Linked DNA regions of Medicago truncatula. Each later gene encodes a partner of the first gene's protein in a complex. Links are inferred from orthologs where the notes say so. Each region holds a gene or a part of one and is shown on either strand. Other genes may lie near its edges.

The links. The genes of interacting proteins can lie anywhere in the genome.
Region 2: probable chlorophyll(ide) b reductase NYC1, chloroplastic (region 1) and red chlorophyll catabolite reductase, chloroplastic share a complex: the UniProt entries of both Arabidopsis thaliana proteins name them as parts of the SGR1-CCE-LHCII complex. The link is inferred for Medicago truncatula from reciprocal best matches to the Arabidopsis thaliana genes NYC1 and ACD2.

The regions. Positions count from the first base shown.
Region 1 is NC_053047.1:40,285,876-40,293,305, reverse strand, and holds the start of probable chlorophyll(ide) b reductase NYC1, chloroplastic, read right to left. Parts: upstream 3,740-7,430; 5' UTR 3,593-3,739; coding exon 3,245-3,592; intron 2,624-3,244; coding exon 2,545-2,623; intron 2,388-2,544; coding exon 2,252-2,387; intron 2,142-2,251; coding exon 2,067-2,141; intron 1,966-2,066; coding exon 1,770-1,965; intron 1,397-1,769; coding exon 1,328-1,396; intron 1,236-1,327; coding exon 1,096-1,235; intron 627-1,095; coding exon 504-626; intron 277-503; coding exon 84-276; intron 1-83. UniProt on the Arabidopsis thaliana protein: Involved in chlorophyll b degradation. Belongs to the chlorophyll catabolic enzymes (CCEs).
Region 2 is NC_053046.1:43,223,325-43,230,754, forward strand, and holds red chlorophyll catabolite reductase, chloroplastic, read right to left. Parts: upstream 4,717-7,430; 5' UTR 4,685-4,716; coding exon 4,337-4,684; intron 2,971-4,336; coding exon 2,359-2,970; 3' UTR 2,180-2,358; downstream 1-2,179. UniProt on the Arabidopsis thaliana protein: Catalyzes the key reaction of chlorophyll catabolism, porphyrin macrocycle cleavage of pheophorbide a (pheide a) to a primary fluorescent catabolite (pFCC).

The DNA of each region.
Region 1 (7,430 bases):
TATATTCAAAGATGAGCATTTACATGAAAGAATACCAAGTAATTAAAGTGTACTTCAACCTCAAAATAATCGTCATTACATACCTCATCATCAAACCAGCGACCTCGCCGTAACCATGCGGTGACCAAGGCAAGCAAGATTCTAGGAGGAGTCAAGTAATTGATGGCCTTGCCTGTTCCCTTAACGACTCGCATCCGTGGAACTAATGTTCTAGCAACAGTTTCAGGAAGCTCGCATATGATATTAAACATTTGCTTGTTTTGAATAGTTGAACCACTGTGCAAATAAAGCCACACTTCTAACAATTATTAAACTAATTTAACTTAGATCAGAGAAAGTTACACAGACAAACACGAGAATGCTATTCGTTATTATAAGATTAAAAAAGACGAGTTGAAAATATAGTTGACAACAGAAAAAGAAGTTGGAAATTCCTACAGAAGAAGATTTCGGTACGCGGTCCATGCGAAAAAACAATACAAGTTTGCAAATAGAGATGTTACCTTAAAAGAAGTTCTGTGAGAACCATGCCGGGAGATGCAGTATGGACACCTACTTTCGATCGCTTGCACTCCGTCAATAGTGATCCATGAAATTGTCTAAGGCCGCATTTTGTAGAACCATAGCTACACAACAAATGAAATCATCATCCACCAGGACTTTTGAGAACACTCACTCATAGATACACGCAATCACGCATATTTCGAGTAAAAATGAAGAATGTCTCACTTACTTGTATTTTCATTAACTTAAATTTGTGTTCATTTTAAATTGCTAACAACGTGGTAGAAGACTGATGTAGTGAATATATGTGATAGAGAGAAGATAGAAGGATAGTTAGGGAGAATGCATTTTGAGAAACAGCAAAAACAATTTTTGGCATCTTCAAAATTTCTTAAAAAATGTTGAATCTGTTTTTAACAACTGTAAAAGGAAATGGTGAGAAGAGTATTGAATCTATATTCTATCATGTTTATTAGTTGAAGTAAAAATGAAAACAGGAATCATGAAAAAGTAAACAAGCCCTTAAATCGCAAAAGCTCAGTGGAATTAACATCCCAAGATAAGAAACAACAATATCAAGAGAATACTCACACGGCTGTCAGAGGTGTGCTAGAGCCTCCAGAACCTGCACCGTCCATATTAAATATGTGGCCTGGCTTGGTTTGGTTTCTCATAATACGCATGGCTTCTCGGGTACAAAGGATAGAACCAACCAAATTTGTCGAGACAATCTACAGAAATAAACCAACTTTTCAAGCTAAGGATGAAGATGAACAGCCTTTATATTCTAACAAAATAAAAAAGAAATTATGTAGCAACATACCTGTTTGATATCTTCATCGCTGAATTGAAGCAATGGTCTAAAACCTTTATTTGTTCCAGCATTGTTTATCTGTTGAGTAGTTTGAATAAAAATACAATACGAAAAATTAGATTAGGACCAAAAAGCAGAAACCACACTCAGCAAGAAATAAGGAATCCAATATAAAACTTTCATTGAAGTGATAACAAAATCGATAGTAGGGTTCATTAGCTCAATGATGCTCAATCTATGAAACACTGACACAGACACCGAGCAAGATACTAATACTGACACGCTGACACTTGTAAAAATATTATTTAAGAAAATGAAAGTGATTGAATGTAACCACGTGTGTCAGTATCTTGTTGGCGTCTAATGCCGACACGTGTCAAGTGTCAAAGACACATTCAATCTCAAGTGTCAGAGCTACATAGTTCTCAACAGAAAGAACAGCCACACTTACCCAAATGTCAATATAACCAAGTTCGCTGACAGCAAAGTTTGCCAATCTCTGAACATCATTAGCCTCACAAACATCACAAGCAATGCCTACAACTTTTGCTTGAGAAAGCTTTGTCAAAGATGAACCAACTGCATTGGCAATGCCTTCCTTTAGATTTTCCTCAAGCTCTTTGACAGTTGCTTGCACAGACTCAGGGCTGCCTTCACAAAATTCGAGAGCGGGAGCAAAAACACGTTGTGAGCAACAAAATATATTAATTTGATCTCTATAAAATGTTCTCATAGTTTGTGATACCACCTTCGTGAAGTAACAATCACACGATCTCCCGAAAGAAGAAACTCCCGCGCCAAAGCTTTCCCCAATCCCCTCGTACTGCACACAAATAAAGCAATGTCAGCATTAATTTTTTTTAAACATGCATCCAAATAAAGCTAAAAATGTTGGAAATCAATTTCTAGAATACTATCAGTGAGTGAACGTACCTTCCAGTTATGACAACATTACGCGGACCTTCGCGACAATAATCCTCCAACACCCAGTTAGCACCTATCATTGTCCCAATGATAACTCCTCCAAGCCAACTATACCATATCAGTGCATCCATCTGACTATCTCCACCTTCACAAAATTTCCAAAAAATCAACATCATATATGATATGAGGTATGATTGAACGTTAGTGTAAAACTTGTTTACACTATAGTTGGAAACTCGACTATAAGTGCAAATATTTTCAATACACATTCTAAAATAGGAAAGTAGAATATATATACCAACCTGACATCTGAAATCCAATTGCAAGGATGACACCAGTGCTCATCATGGTCACAATATATCTCCCAATCTGAACAGCAATCTTGTTTTCACAAATACAAGAACACGGTTATATTCAACATTCAAAATACAATACAACACAAAATTGAAAGTAAAAATTAAGTGGAAATAACACAACACAGCAAGAGCCTTTTTGGATTTGCTTATTTGAGCTTATCTACTAGAATAAGCACTTGTGACACCAAGTACTTGTGAGACTGTTTGGTTGGAATAATTTATGAAAACAACTTCTGTTTTCAGCTTATTTTTAACTTATTTCTGTAAGCTATTTTCAACTTATTTCCTGCAACTCTCCGAGATAATTTAAGAAAACAACTTATGGATAAGCACTTATTTTATCTTTTGTAATAGAAATAAGCTATACATAAGTTTCCAAACTCTCCAAGATAACATATGAAAACAAGTTATAGATAAACACTTAATTTTATCTTTTGTTATAGAAATAGCGTATCCATAAGCACTTATATGCTAAAACCACTCAATTAAGTTGGTAATCCAAACAGAATCAAGAATGATAGAACCTCATCAACCCTAACAAACAACTAGTACATAAATACATATATGATAAGTGCTTATGCTATATGAAACAATTAATTATCCAAACAGATTAAAAAATGATAAAACATCAAAAACAAGAACTCACCTTAGATAGAACTTCATCAACCCTAACAACAGCTTGTCTATACTCATCATCCAACTTAGAACCCATCATAAAATTTCCCAACAAAACATTTCTAAAATTACTCCAAAACCCATTTTCCCTTTGAACTTTCACTTCATTTTTCTTCAAATTTCTCAACTTTTTCTCCTTCACATCACCACCATCTTCACTCTTGAAAGCCCTACACTTTTTCAAACACAACCCACCAAAATTTTGTCCAAAACCAAACACCCCAGATGAAGAATTTGAGCTACCAAATCCATTTCTAAGCTTATGCTTATTCAAATTACACTCTGGAAAAACTTGAAGCTTAACAATTGTAGTAGCCATGTTTAAGATAAAAAGTTCATAAAAATGTTACAATATTATTGGTACATAAATGTGTTGAATTCATGTAACATGTTTGGTTTATTTATTGTTGTGATTTTGGTGAGAATTGATAACTATGTTTTTGTAATTTTGTGTGTTGCGAAAATATCTAACTGAGTAACACCGATTCATTGGAAAAATGTAACATAATAGTAACGTAAGAAGGAACATTATGGAATGTGATGACCACACGTTAAGAAACCTCATCATTATCGGTTATGGACACGTGGCATTGTGGGTCTTTAGACACGTCACTTTTTTCTTTTGTTAGTGTGAGGTGAAAAATGAACACTTTTTCTTTTGGATTTTTCTTAGACTTAGATAGATTATTATTGAAAGTAAATTATTGTTTTTTCATGTTAATCGTTCGCTTCTACGAAGAGAGTTCAATAATCTCTATGAGCTTAGTTCAATTATTAGAATGTGTGAACTTATTTTTCCATATTTAAAATGTGTGAGCTTCAACCTTATTTCTCCACGTTTAAAATGTGCGAGCTTCAACCACAAAATTATTTGATAAAAAGAAAGTCTAGGGTGCGTTTGATTTGATAAAAAATGAAGGACATGACAAAACAACTCCAATTGTCCAGTGTTTGATTTGTAAAACAGTTTCAGGGACATGACAAACTGGAGGCAAGGGACATGACAAAAGCTGCAATTTTTGTCCATCGCCAAACCACAGCACAACCTTTTGTCTCACGTACAAGTTTTCTAAAATACAAAAATAACATTTCGTCACCCAAAAATCAAATAATACAGAAAATTATTCAATACCATAAAAATTTGTATTGTGCTGTTCTGCCTTATATTGTGTTGTCCTATCTTGTACTGTTATGTCCAATACTTACTGTTCTACAAATCAAACACACCCTAATAGTCTAAAATTCAATCGATAGATAAATAAAATTTGATTAAAAAATTATTCCAGTTAAAAATATAATTTGAATTCTTTCGAACGATTTATCATAACTCATTTAATTCAAAATAAATTATTTTAGATTAAGAAAAGAAAAGATATAAAGTTAGGCAATTAATTTTATTAAGGGTTAGGGAATACATGTATGTCATATTTTAAGCACTTTTATATTTTATTTTTTAAATCATGGCCAACTATTGAAGTTAGTTGATTAGTTTTGTTTTTTATTGACAAAAAAGTTAGTTAAAGTTGTCTTAGTTTAGAGAAAAGAGAAGGATATAAGTTAGGCCTTTGAAATTTTAAGGTTAAGGAAATGCATGGATGTTATTTTTTAAGCATTTTTAATACATGGCCAATTATTGAAGTTTGTTTGTTTTCTTCTTTTTTGGCAAAAAAGTTAGTTAAACGATAAAGTTAGGGGAAGAAATGCATGTTAATGAATATATAATCTAGCTTTTTCGTTCGTTGGGGAAGAATTCATAATCTAGCACAAATGTAGTCTGATGGTTTTCTTTTACAATGAAATTTGTAGCAAGTTTTCATCGATGTTTATTAGTGATTAATCTCCGTTAAAGAATGTATGGGGTAAATAAATTGGGTTTTACTCTCTTAATCGGATTTTTTTCATACATACATAAAGAATTAAACCTTTGACTATATATTTTAAGATTTACGTGAGATATTTATTTGTTCCAACTTGGGAGCCAGGGAGATAGAGTTAGTTCAAACAATCAACTTGCGTGAGATATTTGTTCCAACATTTTGTATCTATTTTAGTTGAAAAAAACAAATTGTGTATGTAAATAGCTTGGCTTAGATTTGGGTTCAAATCTACTTTTTATTTTACGGTCAAATTTAGAGTTTTCTGCAATAAAATAAATATCTAGGGGGTGTTTGTTTCCTGGTTTAAAAAATTATTCCCAGGAATATGGAGGTTGGAATTATAGATTCCTATGTTTGTTACAAAGTTAAAAAAATAACTCCCGAAAATAAAGAATTCCTAGGAAAAAAATAACTTCCACTTACCCATGATTTTACTCCCAAAGAAAGTGGGCGGGAATAAAAGATTCCCATGTAAATGGTACTAAAATGGAAATAACTACCCATATACCCACTATCACAAACAATTCCCATGAATCTGACAATTATTTACCAAACACAATTTTCTAAAAATACTCAGGAATAAGATGCCCATTATTATTTCCCAGGAAAGGTTAATCCCAGGAATGAAATTTTAAACCGTCAAACAAACGCCCCCCTAGGGTTTTCTAGTATATTTCAAAAGCAAAAGTAGTTTCTCGTCTGTAGGATAAAGTAAATTTCATCTTAAATTTTTTTAACGACACATTAGTTTTTTTTTTTTTAAGGAAAAAAAAAAAACTAATATTAGTTGTTCTATCAATTTCTTTTTTTGAGGGAATATTATCAATTTCTTGTCATTCCCTAAAAAAAAAATTCCTGTCATGTGGTTGACCACGTATATTTAAAATGAATTGAGATATTTTGGTCCCTAAAAATATATTTGGGGACAATTTGGTCACCATATTTTTAAATCCCTTCAAATCACATAGTTTATTTTAAAATTTCTAACTTTAAAAAAATAACATCTTCTTGCTGCTTCTTTCTAGTTTTTACTAGTTGGATTGTGTTTTAGATTTTCTACATGTTTCGTTGGTTGTATTTTGGTGTTACCATAATATTTTGGATTTTGAAGTTGCATTTATTTGACCATTGTGTGTTAGACTTGCGGGTGCTATTGAGTTTGATAATGTTATGCACTTTGAATTTGATGGTAATGATGGATAGGGATTATGATGGTTTTTTTTCCCTCCAGATAAAGTGATTTTACGCACATCAAAGGATGATTCTGGATTCGAATTCGGATAGCCACGAAAAACGTTAGGTCTAACGATATCGGTATTTCCATTTGACATTGGCCTTACAAACAATGTTTGTTTTGTTCCATTTAAATGCAAATATTACTATCATCTATTATAATTAAAAATAAGAAAATCTCATTTTAGTCTCACATATAAATATGAGAAGCTCGTTTTAGTCCTTCTCAAAATAAGAAAAACATTTTTGTCCCTCAAAAGTAAATAAGCTGATAAATTAAGTTTTCATCAAGTTTAGGGACAAAAAGCATGAACAAACTGTGGTTTAATTAGCAGCAAGTTAGGGGAAGATGGAACAATAAACCAATTCATAATAACTAATATAATTTAGACACTAAATATTATTAAAGTTAAGGAAATGTATGGATGTCAATATTTAAGGATTTCTTATTTTAAATCATTGAAGTTAGTCAAAACAATTAAGTTAGGGGGAAGAAAAACATGCAATGAGTCCATAATAGTCTAGCTGTAACTTGGGTGTGTGGGCTATGAAGTTAGTTCAAATGAGTTGGTTGAGATATATACTTGTTCCAACATTTTGTATGCATTAGCTTAGATTTGGTTTCAAATCATGAGTGTTATATATATATATATATATAGAGACGACATATAATATTTTTGGTTACGAGAGAAGACATATACTATGAGAACGAGTATCTTAAATGAGAATGATGAGAATAATTGTCAATCATTGAATAAAAAATAGATGGTTGAGATTACAAAGCCTCATTTTAAATCTCTACATTATTAGAATGTAATTTTTCATTTGTAACATCTCAACTTTGACCAATAGATAAGAGTTTTAAGAAGTTTCTCTTTATCTTTTCTATATTTCATACGTTTCATAATATGATATCAGAGCAAATTTAATTTCCTCAATTTTCATTTTCTCTCTTTTAAATTTTCCTTTTCTCAATTTATTTTTTTAATAATCATTTTTCCTTCGTTTTCTCTTACTTTCTCACCGTTTCTGGTTCATTTTCAATTT
Region 2 (7,430 bases), on another chromosome or scaffold:
CCGCACTGTAATTATAAAAAGACAATAAAAAATATTACAATTGAAATAAAACTATGATCCATTTTTTTTAAAGCAATTCATAAAATAGTAGAAATCGTAGTATTTAATTAAATAAAAAAACATCCAAAATATTCCTCGAAAATTAAAATAAAAACATTCAAAAAACATATAAAAAAGTGTATGCTAAAATAAACATCAAATTGATTTAAATCATAAATTTGTAGCTCGTAAGCTTATGAAGGTAAGGATGAAATGATTACCGTATTAGTTTTTAGGTTTAGGTTTATGCTTAAATAGCTAAATAAATTAAAATAATTGTAAAACAAAAATAAATAAAGTATTTATTATATTATATAAATATGTATATGCGGGTTGCGAAGCTGGGGAGTATAGTGCCCTTACCTGCACCCACACCCATCTAAATTTGCGGATAATTACCCCGACCCAAACCCATACCCATATAAAGGGGATTTTACCCTATCCATTGCGGGTACTTCTTGCGGGTGCCCATCAAGCCTGAGTCCAATTGTCATCCCTAGACAAGAGTGCAAGTGGTACTATACCCACAAGTTGCGAAACAGCACAACCCACACCAAGAAAATTAGGAACTCCTACAAATCACCTATCTAGCCATACAATCCATCGAGTTGATAAACCACTCGTACAAAAAAAGGATGGTGCACCTATTTGTTTACCCAAACAAAAACCATTGCCAAGAGATGCTCTTGATGTAGGCGACGTCACTTTTTGAGAGAAGATTGAATCATTACGAGCCTTCCATAATGACCACACCATTGTGTGCCATACCAACAACAAACCCTAGGTGACCTTCTTGTTACGGAAGAAGCAACAACTCACCAACAATGCAAACAAATCCGACGGGAGTATCATTGTCACCCCACGCTACGCAAATATATGATACCACATTTGGCTATCGAGCAATCTGAATCTCATTCGGTAACTGTCATTCCCCTTGTAGCCAAGTTCTCTCGACAAGTGATGGCGTAACATTTGCCATCAAAAACCAGTTATTCCGATTAAACTTAAATTACATGTTTTTTGACTATGTAAAATTAAATTACAGTGTCTTAGATATTATTATTTTTATTGTACCAAAATAAAAAATAAGAGTGTATTTTTCTTTTTACTTGGGTGTAAATATGAGATTTGATCGGATTGCAAAATAAGGAGTGGATACGCACCCAATTTAAGATTTTTTTCTTCTTTCTAGAATGACAAAGAAAACAATAAATAAAGAACATTAAGAATATTAGAATGAATTTGAGTTTTTTATTCTTTTGGATTTTTTAATTTTTTGGGTTAATTTTATAAATATGATGAAGATTTGTGAAGATGGGGATGAAGATAGAGAAGAAGGGGATGAAGAAAAGAGGAGGAAAATGGTTGGTTATAAGATATAGTAATATGCAAGATCCAATGATTTCATTTTTAACAAAATTAAAAATCAAATGGTTTACATTAAAAAATTTATTGAGGTTTTTGGTAGAGCAAAGTGAAATCAAATAAATAGTTAAGAGATTAAAACACTAATGTATTCGAAGATCCAAAAAAGACCTTACAAACATTTTGAACAAAATAAATTGTGTTTTTATTTCTACAAAAAAGACAATGTTTGATGTTTTTTTAAGAAGTCAAACTAGCCTACTAAAATTGGCACCGGTGAGAATCGAAAAGAGAACACTCAAATATCGAAACCAACAACACCAGACCAACACAAATGGGTTCATAATGTTTGGATGTTATTTAACGATGTTAAAAGAGATTATGGTCGACGGGGTGTTATATGGAATTCATTTGGTGGAGGAGCTGAGTGTATGTAGTGATGATGTTCAAGTTATTTTTGGTGGTGATAATATTTTTGACTATCTGATTGCTTTGGCTTGGACGACGGCAACCATGATGTATTGATTCCTTTGGCTTGGACGGCGGTGACCGTGATATAAATATACTTGTTAAGAAATTTAAAGACAATTCGTCAGAAACTTAAAGACAATTGGTCAGAGCCGGTCTAATAATCTTGAAAAGTAAGTGAAGCCTAACACAAATTTTGACATAGGAGACCTTTCTTGTTATAACATTCAAGTAGGGGACAGTTGCTTGAAGTGGAAATGAAAAAGATTTGAACCATTCTAACACCACCAACAAACGCACAAAGCAATTATCGCAGACAAACATATGAAATTAAAATATCACTCACTTAATTAATAAGCTTTAGTAATGCTAGTAAAATACTTACACAGATATCTAATTCATACTACAAACTCTTTCGAAGTCGCAGAAGCACACAACTCTTTCAAAGTACAAACTATCATTTACAATTCCAAATAAACTTGCATCTCAAACAGTAAAATACTCCTTGATAGCTTCCAGTATCTGTTTTGCTGCTTCTGGACCAAACAACCTTGGAAAGCTTGAACCAAGATCAACCTCAATAGTCTTGTTTCTAATAACACCATCTCTTTTTATCAGATAAGCTTTATCTTCCTCTCCTACTTCTCTCTCGGCACAGGCACAATGATCCAACCATATCCCCAACACTTGCTTCGAAACCGGGTCAATATGGTTCTTGATGATCTCGTCTATCCGCTCTCCTTCATCATTTTCTGTCTGAATGCGAACAAATATAGCCGTTGGAGATGCAACGCTGCGGATGAAAAGCGAAGAAGTGATATAAGGTTGAACCTCTGGAATTTTTTCCAAAGCCTGTTTATGTGTATCCAGTTTAGTGTCCTCATAGAAAGTTTTAAGGTAATCTGGCCAAAGAACAAGGTCTTTTCGAGGTGGTAAATCAAGAACAAGAATTAGCATTGTTGGACTGCTTCGGATCAGCTCGAACACGAAATTTGGTGCATCATTTGAACTGTTAAGATAGGCTGAAAGAGATGTTATATCTAATGATCCTCCTGTTGGTAGCTCAGCATGCACCCAGCTTCCCATTACAAAGTCTATCTGAGACATACAACAACAACAAAAATGAACAGTGAACAACAAATTCAGAATAAAACAATAATTAGACCACGTGTTGGATAAACAACTTGGTTAAACGCTTATAACATAAGCACTTAACATATAATAAAACAATCAATTGAGTCAAAATATTTTTATATACTCTATGGAGCTGTTTTCATAAACCTATCCTAGAGAACTAATGGAAAAATAAGCTGAAAACAAGCTATAGACATGTCATAAATTGTTTTGAGAATTTCTATCAAACAGTTGCATAAGTGCTTATGTCAGTAGGTAAGCTCAAATAAGCTAATCCAAACAGGCCTCATGAACATTATGTTTCTTCAACATAAGGAAGTTCACTGAAATAACAAATCATTTATGAAGAAAAGTAGATGTGAGGACATCTGCAGTGCCTATTTGTAGATAGTTAGATAGATAAGTTAATGATTTCCTTAACAAGTAATTAAAATAATCTCAACAACATACAAAAAAATTACCCAAACAATCACAATTAAGGAACTATTACATCTACCAATCAGTGCAATACTTTAAGAATCACAAGACACTGCTAAAATAACTATCTTCTCCGTATAAGAAAGATAAGTATATATGTAATGATAGTTAATCAAGGCTTAGGCTACAATATTAAATGTAAATTATTCAAATTCAAGAAACGTAGAAAAGAGAAAATAAAAATCTACATTGCCAATTTGATTCAGTGGTCCGTCATTATCTAAAGTAAGCAACTAATTTTAGAGAGTAAAGTTACTGATATCAACTATTAACAACAAGAATAAAGATTGATAGACACCCCTTTGTATCACTCTGAAAATTTTCAGTGTTTGTGTGACCACATTTTTCAGTTGCGTGACTCCTATTAGAAGCTGAAAAATGTGGTCACGCAACTAAAATGCACGTGACCACTATTTTTCCACTTAGTTAACCAAATAAATTTTGGAAAACTAGTGGTCACGCAACTAAAAAAATGTGATTACACATACCATATATTTGATCAACTGAAATTTTTTAGAGTGGTACAAAGGGATGTACGCATTAAAGATGTCTACCTATCATATTGCTAATGTATTATGCAAATAACCAAATTAAGTGGTTGAAATCACAACTCTTAATTTTTCTCATCTTAGTAACTACTCACCTTAGAGGAGAAACATGGTTGATAGAGTGTCTAAAGTGAGTTTGGATAAATATTTATTAAAAACGTTAACATAATCTATGATAAATATTTAGTGTACTTAACCTAATAAAATAACATAACAATAAGTTAAGTACCTAGTTCTCAACCAAATATATATACTCTAACTTGAAAATATGGAATTTTGAGAGCAAAAAGTAGAAAGGAAATTACAGGGGAATCAGTGTTGCTTGGTCTAATATGCAATGAAACTTGAGAAGTACCATTCTTGCTCTTATAGTATTGAACATCAGGAGGAAGTGAACAAGGAAGAAGATGAGATTCAAAGCGATCTTCAACTGTTGAAACAAGATCAAGCATGAGATTCTTGTGGGGTGCTGAAACAAATGGAAATTCCAAAAATTTGCTACGACCTTGCTTCTTCTGAGTATCCATTATAGAGCAAGAAACAGAAGAACGAGAAGTGGAAAGATATAACCTTGATGAAGAAAAAGAAGAAGAAGAAGAAGATAAGATGGAAAGTGATGAATGTTGGAAATGGCTACAGATCATCACTACCATTGTGTAACCAAAGACAAATGTTTATGTCTTTGTACTTTATTGTTTTTCTACTTTTTATGTTCTTTTTTTTGTCATTAATAATGTTTTTTGAAAATTATTTTTCTCACATCAAGTTTTACTTAAAAGGAAATGTTAAAAAAATAGAAATTTTATCTTGAAAATTGTGTATTTAACACATTGAAAATATTAAAAAGCAACTTTATTTACATAAAAATTATCAATTGTGTCTATTTTTGGATCCTTAACAAGTGTGCTAAAGGCACTCGTTAACAATACCCTTACACACATGGAAAATATAATTTTTACCTCAATTGAAGTTCCTGGCAAAGCATCAATTGCGATATTGTGCATTTTGGTTAAAAAATTAAAATAAAGCAGAGCTTATTCAAAATGCTACGAAATTTTACCGATCCTCTATATGTATTTTTATAGAGGAGTCTTTTAAAAAACAATCTCTAACATTGAATTCTAGGTCGATGTTTTGAAATTTTGGTTTCTTGAGTTTTTGGCGCATTAAAAAATCATATTTAATTCATCCCTTGTTGGGTAATTATAATTTTTGTGTTGGAGATGTTGTTTTTATGTCCTAGACATGTGTGCGAAAAATAATGAAAAAATTCGACCTCTATGTCACTTTTTCGGACTTGCACTTGGGAAAAAATTGCGATTTTGTGCTTTTCGATCGAAAAATCAAAATAAATCAAGGCTTAGTTGAAATTCTATGGAAACTTTGCAGAAACCTCTATAAAAATATATACAGGGGATTTCAAAGTTTCATAGCATTCCGAATAAGTCTTGACTTATTTTGATTTTTTGATTGAAATGCGCAAAATTGCAATTGATGTTCTGTCAGGTACTGCACTTAAATGCAGCTGAGCCAACTACAACTAGCTCGGCGGTAGTTAACCACAACTCGCTTACTGAGCGCTAGTTAACTACGGCCGGAGATAAAATGGTATTTTCTATGTGTTTTTAAGCAAAACTTGATGTGAGAAAAGCAATTTTCATGTTTTTTTTGTTTGATGGACTTTTGCAATAGGCCTAATATTTCCATTTGCGCCCTATTTTAGCATCGATAATTTGATTATACTTTTTATACATATTTGTTTTTTATTTTAACATGTAATAACAAATGTTTTATTTATTATTCATGAGAAACTATAAAATGAAAATAAAAATTGAATTAGTCTTAAAATTTATTTTAATTTAATATATCTCTCTTTTAAATACTTTTCATTCCCTTATGCAGTGAATACACTAGCACATCTTGATGACAAGAGTGACAAGTCCATTCAAATAAACCAAGCTCCAACTCCCCCACTTCCAAGTGGTATTCCCACATATAAAATTGAGATTGTAAATACATATATTAATGTTACCAAGCCAGCCAAACCAAAGAGAAAAATCAATGAATTACAACATATTGTATATTTGTATTAATATGATAAATGCGTTTCTGTCCCTTGAGAGGAAGAATACCTTCTCTTTATGCAGCCTACTAGTATTAACATATATCATTATCTTATTTTGAAAATGTTAAGGTTCAATCAAAAGATGAACTTGAAAGATTTTTCTTATTGAAGAGGCTGAAAGATTATCTCAATGGTTGTTACAAAAAAAAATCTAAATCATCTCTAATTGTATGATACAAAATTTTGAAATTGCTAGAGATTTTCACGATTCATTAGTTTTTATATTATTACAATAAATTATATTTTATTTTGTATCTGGTCTAGCTGCCAATACTTACTCAATTGAACACACATACACAATCATAAAAGATGTGGTGACCGAGTTCGAACTCATCATACACGATTAACCCTACTTCTTTGTACTTTCTTTCTTTTCAATTTGTTTTATACTACAACCACCCGTTGTGCTAGGTTCACTCATCCAAATTGCTACATCTTTTTCTTTGGCTTCATGATTCTAAATATCTGGTGTGCCCAAAATGCTAATTGAATATGATATATTGTAATGATTTTGAAATTAAATTTTGTGGAAGATAGATGCTAGTTGGAAGGTATATGATATCGCCGGATGGAGGGACTGTGTGGGAGTGGGGTGGCTAATAATTGATTGATTTTAGTAGGTGGTTAATTCAATCAAGAGTTATTCGTTAATAATTAAATTAGATTAAATATTTTAATCAAATAAATTTAGTTATCATCAATTAATAATATTTTTTCTTTTTCTCTCAAAAAAAAATTAATAATATTTTTTTTTATAAATTGTTTAATTATAGTATTGATCCCTCTATTTTGATCCGTTTATATAATTGGTTATCAATTTCAAAATCATTCAGTTTTGATTCCTCCGTACAAAATTTGTCCACAAATTAGAAAATGCGTCTCCTTTATAATGATATAGCATATATGTTGTTGATGTGTCTTAATCTACATGTGTAATTACAAGACATGCCATTATTTAATAACCCAAAATTAAAATAACAAATTTAAGTTGCAAAATTAAAACTAAAAAAAAACAGATTGAGATATATTACAACCCTAAATCTCCAAATCTACAATCATCGTTCTTCATATATGTTGTTTTCTTCCTCGTGTTAGGCTATACCCGGGTTTTTCAAGATGTTTATGGTTTGAAATTTGTTCTTCAACCTTGAAGATCTCCGGTTTGAATCTAGCGAAAAGAGAAATTTTATGAAAATTAGTTTTTTGATGAATAATTTAATTTTTGAAATGCATTTATTTTATTTTAGGTGAATTTCAATTTAAATTTGAAAACA